Macaca fascicularis: one gene and its partner. The protein of the gene in region 1 purifies or fractionates together with the protein of each later gene. This does not show direct contact. Links are inferred from orthologs where the notes say so. Each region holds a gene or a part of one and is shown in the gene's direction. Other genes may lie near its edges.

Region 1 (3,645 bases):
AACTATCAGTCAAATCATGGCCAGTCATTTCTTATCATTATTTTTCCTTCATTTCTTTTTACATTAATTCTATTCTGATTCTGTAGTAAAGTGTGCTCTACCAGATCCTAACAAGATGTGTCTCAACTGTTATTGTACAGGTTGCACATCTCTAATCCAGAAATCTGAACTTTGGAATGTCCCTATGAGCATTCCTTTTAAGCATCATGTTGGCACTCACAAAGTTTCAAATTACGGAGCATTTCAGATTTCAGGTTTTAACATTAGAGATAGTCAACTTGGATTAACAGTTGAGATGCATTTGTTATGATCTGGTAGAGCATGCTTTACTACAGAATCCAAACAGAAGTAATACAAATATTCCAAACTCTAAAGAAATTCAAAACCCAAAGCACTTCTGGTCCCAAGCATCTCAGATAAGGGATACTCAACCTATATCTCTTAGTTCTGGTAAATACACTGTCCATAAAAGTCAGAAGACTAGAGATTATCTGTCCTGTTTGTTTGCTTTTACACATCCGGAAATAACACTCCAATTTTATTAGGTTGGACCACATGAAATGTCCGTTTATAAGTCAAAAATGGTTGAATATCCAATTTCATGTGATTGCACCCTGATGTCAGAAAACTCTTAATAAATGGAACAGTAATCCTCAACCAGAAGTATACATCAGAATAACCTTGGGAACTTGAAAAAATACTCAGGCCACTACCTACTGAATCTAATTTCTCTAAAGTTAAAGCCCTAGCATGTCTATCGCCTCAAAATTCCCCCAAGTGATTTTGATACGATTAAGAACTACTGTCTAAAATAATCCCCCCTTCCGTTTAACTCCATTTCTTGTCTTGGCAATAGGTAAAGTAGTGAAAGGCCACACCGTGTTACCCGGGCTAGGCAGGTATGTGCACATGGAAGTGCCTCGTAGTATAATATGACCTAAATTAATGGAGCTTTTTTTTAATTTTTCCCTTTTTTTCCAGATATCCAAGAGAATCTAACAAATTAATAAACCTTCCAGAGGATTACAGCAGCCTCATTAATCAAGCATCCAATTTCTCGTAAGTTTTGCTGTTAGCATTGAACATCCCTGCCACTGGAAACACCTCTCTACAAAGAATTTGAAGGATTTTGTTGTTGTTCTTTGTTTTGTTTGGGTAGAGAAATCATATTTTAGTACTTTATGAGAGGAGGGAGAGAAAAAAGGGAAAAAAGAAGAAACTTGACCAGGCTCAGTGGCTCACACCTGTAATCTGAGCACTTTGGGAGGCCGAGGTGGGTGGATCACCTGAGGTCAGAAGATCCAGCCTGGCCAACTTGGTGAAACCCTGTCTCTACTAAAAATACAGAATTATCTGGGCGTGGTGGCAGGCACCTGTAATCGCAGCTACTCGGGAGGCTGAGGCGGGAGAATCACTTGAACCCGGGAGGCGGAGGTTGTAGTGAGCCAAGATCGAGCAATTGCACTCCAGCCTGGGTGACAAAAGCAAAACTCTGTCTCAAAAAAAAGAATAACATCTGTAGTACTCTATACTACGTAACTTATAAAAGCATCATTTCACTGTGTTTCAGAATAAGACATGGAATGGGAGTAGGAGGAGCAAGTTCGATTCATGAATGTTTAATAATTGCACCTAAAGTAATAACAGCCCTTAGTAATTTTTTTTTTTTTTTTTTTTTTTTTTTTTGAGACCAAGCCTCGCTCTGTCACCCAGGATGGAGTGCAGTGGTGCCACCTTGGCTCACTGCAACCTCCGCCTCCCAGATTCTAGTGATTCTCGTACCTCAGCCTCCTGAGTAACTGGGATTACAGGCACGTTCCACAAGGCCCAGCTAATTTTTTTTGTATTTTTAGTATCACCTCGGCCTCCCAAAGTGCTGGAATTACAGGCGTGAGCCACTATGCCCAGCAGTAATTTTTAATATAGTATCAAATATTTAACATACAAGCAGCATAAAGAATAATAGGGGAGGCTGAGGTGGGAGTATCACTTGAGCCCAGGAGTTGGAGGCTGCGGTTAGTCATGATCGTGCCACTGCACTCTAGCCTGGGTGACAGCGAGACCTTGTCTCAAAAAGAAGAATATAATAATGTAAGAGCTTAAACATTACCTAGACAGTTGAAGCTCCCCAGCTGTCTCTTCTCTGTTGCCTCTTCCTCCTCCCTCTGAAGATACCTACTATTCTAAATGGAATATTAAGCATTCTATTCCTATACATTAACCATAATAGGTTTATGTTCCTAAACAGCATATATTGTTATTTTGCATGTTTTTATTTTTTACTCTTTTTTTTTTTTTGAGACAGAGTGTCACTCTGTTGCCCAGGCTGGAGTACAGTGGTGTGATCTTGGCTCACAGTAACCTTCACCTCCCAGGTTCAAGTGATTCTCCTGTCTCAGCCTCCCAAGTAGTTAGGACTACAGGTGCGCGCCACCATGCCTGGCTAATTTTTGTATTTTTAGTAGAGACGGAGTTTCACCATCTTGGTCAGGCTGGTCTCAAACTCGTGACCTCAGTTGATCCACCCACCTTTGCCTCCCAAAGTGCTGGGGTTACAGGCGTGAGCCACTGCACCCAGCTGATTTTGCATTCATTCAGCACTGTTTCTAAGATTTATCTGCATTGACATGTATAACTTTATTGATTTTTCACTGCTCTACAGTATTTTATTATATGGCAGTGGCACCATTTATCTTTTTCTTCTATTGATGATTTTATTTATTTTTTTCTCCAGTTATTGATTCTTTTGAGTGTTTCCAGTACATGGTCTCTGTATATATGTGCAAGGTGTTTCCTATTCCTGATTCTAGGAATAAATTTGCATAGACTGTAGGATATACGCTGCTTTGGCTTTACTTGATATTGCAGAATTCTTTTCTGGGCTGGTGTTTTCTTCACTAGCTTTTTAGCCACTCTTTAGATCAATGACTTGTGGGTTTTTTATCCCTTGGAGGTGCCCCAAATCAGGTGGTGATAAGAGCAGAGCCCCAACTCTGTGCCTTGTGTGTGGATCTCTGCTGTGCTCCCAGAGTTACTGCTGCCAGACTGAGCTGGAAGGGGAGGATGTAGGAGCCTGCACAGCTCACACCTACTCCTGTGGCTCTGGAGTGGGCATCTTCCTGAGGTAAGGACCTGCAGGGGCTTTTTGGCTTTGGATCTGCCTCAGTATCTGACTGTTAGGGTGTCACAGGAAGCTATTGCATTGCCAGGAATTTTGAGAGCACTGTTCTGTGTTTGATTCATTCCAGAAACATGGAGCTCCTCGTCTCCTCACATCTCACATTTGGCCCGTGCCAACTCTGTGTTGGTTCTTTTATTGTCACCATTCCCACTCCTCTTCCCCCAACCATAGGCGACAGTTCTGTACTACTTTCTTCACGTCTCCCGCTAACATGAAACCTCTGATTTTGTGTACAAATCCAGTCAGAATTACTTTCTGTTGTGTCCTCATGTCCTCATGGCTTTTGGATTTTACCTCCATTCGTACATATTATCACAACTCTACATGCCAGCTTGTGATTAGTGACTACTATGTACTAGGCATTGAGAATGCAATAGTCCGCAGTGCAAAGATCTCTGCCCTCATGGATGGAGCTCGTTTTCTAATGAGAGAGAGGACAAGCAAGACTGACAAGAATTTAGATA
Region 2 (4,213 bases), on another chromosome or scaffold:
AGGGGCAAGGTTGAGGCAATGCTAAGGTCCTCATTCCACCCTCCCTTTACCTGTTGAACCGAACAATTCCCCAAATGGATACAAAAGTACTCAGAGTCCTTAGTATAACAAAGTCCTGAAAGTAGGAATTAGCAGCAATACAGGGAAAGACAGTAACTACAAAAAATATTCAAGGTCTGTGGGAGGTCAACACCTCTGAACCCCCTGGTGGTGGGGGGGCACTTCTCGCCCATTTGCACCTTTCTTGCTAGTGTAAAAAACCTGAAGTTGTCTCAGGCTGGATAGATAACCCTCACTCAGGTCTGCTGGAGCTCTCCCCCACATATGAATCATATTTGTAGGTTTCTTTGACAACCAACCACTCATTGATATGCTTGGAAGACTGCACCCCCACATTCTTAAAAATACAATGGTACTCCCCCCCATAGGCAAGTCCCCGGACTCTGACACATATCTTCAATTGAAAGCAGACCCAGAAAGGAAAAACTGCATAATACACCATCCTTTAATGTTTGCCCAGAATTTCCAATACTAGAAACCCCACTGCAAAGCAGAAAGACTATTTGGTAGCTTCAAGGAACCATTTCAGGAGATTGTTGTGTGGCCCTCAGTATTCAATGCTGCCTTAGAAGATCTTGCGATCCTCTCTCTTCTTGCCCCAAGTACCAGAGTTCATAAGCCACTGAACCAACCAGAGGGGAGTTATTTTTGGTCCCGGTTTAAAGAAAACAAAACAAGCTGTTGATCCTCCCACGACCTCTTGGGTAATGTCTCTATACCTGTGATAAACCGAAAACAACTAATAAAGGTGTATCCAGCCCTCACCCTCTTAGACCCGCTTCACAGACCTGGCCGAAACTCACATCCAGGCGAGGCTCTCACGTGACCCGTTCTAAACGCGTCACAGGGACACGTGGTTCTAGATACTTCTCCCCCTCCCCCTCAGGGGTGGATTGTTGACAAGGCCGCGGGCAGTCACGTGATCTTACATCATCCCACCTCCTTTCCCTGAAATCCCTGGCCCGGATACGTCCTTCTTTCTCCACCCCGCCGAGCCTAAACTAGAGACGGGGAGGCAGACAGGATAGTGTGTCGGTTTCGTGGTCTCTGAATCCACAACCTCTAGTCTGAACACAGAGAACACAAATTTGTCGATCACTTCAGGAAGCCCAGGAAGAACCACGCCCCGCTGAAGGGCTCAGGGAACGCGCGCTCCCCCGTCCCGCCCCCTCCTCCCCCAGCACTCACTCTGTGGTAGCGGCGGAGGGCGGAGGGATCCGGAGGCGGCGGAGGGAGACGTCATTGCAGGGTTGTTTGTCAGTCTTGGCGGCGGCGGCGGCGGCGGCGGCGGCAGCGGCGATCCACAGTGATTCGGCCGCCGCGCCGGGGGGTGGGGGGGCTGCGCGGGACTCTTTTCTTTCAGACTGACCGCGGGGCAGCTGCGGAGCATGTCGACCCCGGCCCGAAGGAGGCTTATGCGGGATTTCAAGCGGTAAGGGCCTTCAGCTTCGCATAGATGACGGCCTCTCAAAGCTGCGGGGCTGCAGGGCGTGGATCCCGGACACCTTCCCCTTGTGACCCTCAGAGGGCCGGCTGTGGGCCCAGGGGGACTGGCGGAAGCCGGGTCCTACCTCGGCCCCTACTCTCCTTATCCTTGCCGCTCGCTCTGGCGCCCGAAGAAATTTCGATACTGCTTCCCCTCCCCCCAAAAAGTAAAACGATGTCGATCGACTGGTCTAGGGTTCCCCGCTGCCCATTTCGGCCAGCTGCCCGGGGTCTCGTCCAGGGGATCAGACGGGGATCAGACATCATCCTCCCGCCCCTGCACCCTGCGGAGACCCTTTCTTGTCCCCTCAAAGTGAGCTCCCGCGGGAGCTTGTTCTTCTCCGGCAGCACCAGTCAGCTTTGTTTCACGGCCCCTCAGTCTTCTCCGAGGAGCCGGGTTGGGGTGAACCTCCCCAGCCCCCCACCCTCGCCAGTCCTTTCCATTTCTGCCGTGAGGGTGGGGTCCAGTGCGTGAGGCTCGGAGGTTAACCCATCCCCCGAAACCCGACTCTGTCCCCGCCCGCCTGAAAAGACCTTGGGAACTGACTTAGAGATCTGGGACCTTAGAGCTGGCCACCCCGGCTGCCAGTGCCTTCTGGAACTCAGATCTGGCTGGTGAAGAAAGCCCTATCTATAGCCTCCCGAGTCTGGAAAAATGCCTTCCCTTAGACTGGCGCTAATTTGATACTCCCTGGGCCTTCTTTGGTAAATAAAATAGGGTTTTGTTAGGAGGTATTGGGGTTGTGAGGAAGAAAATGATTATTCCGTTAGTTTACCTTTTATTGGATACTTAGAGACGTAGAAAAAACAAAATAACGTAGAAAAAACAAAATAAGTGAGAAAACATTTTGATATTCTGCACATTTTTCTTAAAATTTTTTCTGGGGACACCTACCCTAATTGAACAAAATAGCATAAAAACATAGATTTGTCGCTCAGGAAGTCACCTCTCAGCTATTATAAAGCCTATGTGAGGCATTTGGATTTGGCCAACTTATTTAATTCATTCGTAGCTTCTCTTAGCCATTTAAAGGTAGGCGTCAAGCAGTGCAGTTCCTCTAAGGCTTCTGTTTGTGGTGGCCTAATTTGCTTGAGATTGACTAAAAACCTTTTTTTTTATGTGGACTAGTTGCAAATTATGATGCCCCATGAAAACAACTCCATATGTATTTGTGAGTGTGTATAATGTAGCATTTTTAATTGAGGTTACAGTCTCTGAAAGGAGATGCCCTTTTTGGTGCAAAAGTCATTTTTCTAAAGCTTGAAATCAGTGTATCTGATTAGCACTCATGACTAAAATTCAGATAGTAAACTAGTTCATGTCATTGTCGCCCTGGCTCCTTACTGTAATGCTCTGCTTAATTCTGAGTTGAATACATGGCACCTTTTGTAGTTTTCCAGAGATCTATAGGTTACAAGAATTTGACTATGACGAATGTGGGAAAGCCTTGTATTGAGTCTCCTGATTTGAGAGGTAGATTTGATGTTAGTGCAGAGCCTTTAAAATAGGGACTGGCGGAAAACCTACTGATTACTTTTTAAAGCCATTGCTGTTTGAAGCAAAAGGGATAGAGTAAATCTGCTGCCTAATACTAGTTTCCTAGTTAAATTTAATGTGTTTTCAGTCATTTCGTGTTTACACTGAGGTTTGCTTTTTTTTTTTTTCTTGTAGCCATTTTGCAGAAGTAGCCGTGGTTAGGATACACAGTCTTTGCATGTTTAGAGCAGCAAAATCAATGGTTCTGTAAAAATATTACTTGCTTTTGAGGTTTTAAACTTTTTTTGGTATAAGAGGACAGTCTATATACATCAATTCTTGAAGAGATACTCTTGATAATATTGAAAGAGGGATGATTCTCAAGCCCTTCGGATTTTTAGGTAATTTGGAGAGGTATTTAATAAGTATATATACCTGGTTAATATATCTAAGTCATATGGTTCATTTTAGTTCACAATAACAAGGAAATGGAGTTAGTCTGTGTCTCAAAATAGATGGTGTAGTGTCTGTAGGTGTTTATGTGGCCTCCTTAGTGGCCTTAATGTTCAACTTTTTAAATTACAACGCTGGATTTCTAGGTTACAAGAGGACCCACCTGTGGGTGTCAGTGGTGCACCATCTGAAAACAACATCATGCAGTGGAATGCAGTTATATTTGGGTGAGTTGAAAGGTTTAACAAATAATAGGTGTGTGCTGAATCTTTAAGAAAAGTGAACATATAACAACTGTCTAGGAAAAGAAACTGAGGTAGAATGAGAGATCTTAAGGACTAAAACTGCAAGATAAATTAGAAAAAAATTTTTTTCAATTAGAGTTTTGGCCCAGCACAGTAGCTCAACGCCTGGGAGGATCGCTGGAGCCCAGGAGTTCATCACCAGCCTGGGCGATATAGTGAGACAGTGAGACTCTGTCCCCTCTCCACCAAAAAAAGAGTTTTGGCCCAGTCTGGGCAACATAGTGAGAGACCTTGTCTCTACAAAAAGTATAAAACTAACTGGGCATGGTGGTGCCCAGCTACTTGGAAGGCCGAGGCAGGAGGATCACTTGAGCCCAGAAGTTTGAGGCTGCAGCCAGCTATCCAAAAAAAAAAAAAAAAAGGGAAAAAGTTTCAGCAGTTATACAAAGTTTATTTGCTCTTTGATGTTATTACATATGGTTTTATAATCACT

The links.
Region 2: the proteins of UBR2 (region 1) and UBE2B purify together in Homo sapiens (affinity purification with western blotting; 3 studies listed by BioGRID, with this or other methods). This does not show direct contact. The link is inferred for Macaca fascicularis from reciprocal best matches to the Homo sapiens genes UBR2 and UBE2B.

The regions. Positions count from the first base shown.
Region 1 is NC_088378.1:128,860,103-128,863,747, reverse strand, and holds part of UBR2 (E3 ubiquitin-protein ligase UBR2), read left to right. Parts: intron 1-856; coding exon of another isoform or gene 857-860; exon of another isoform or gene 861-894; intron 895-981; coding exon 982-1,059; intron 1,060-2,953; coding exon 2,954-3,124; intron 3,125-3,645. UniProt on the Homo sapiens protein: E3 ubiquitin-protein ligase which is a component of the N-end rule pathway.
Region 2 is NC_088380.1:140,910,678-140,914,890, forward strand, and holds the start of UBE2B (ubiquitin-conjugating enzyme E2 B), read left to right. Parts: upstream 1-1,319; 5' UTR 1,320-1,448; coding exon 1,449-1,492; intron 1,493-3,621; coding exon 3,622-3,702; intron 3,703-4,213. UniProt on the Homo sapiens protein: E2 ubiquitin-conjugating enzyme that accepts ubiquitin from the ubiquitin-activating enzyme E1 and transfers it to a E3 ubiquitin-protein ligase. In vitro catalyzes 'Lys-11'-, as well as 'Lys-48'- and 'Lys-63'-linked polyubiquitination.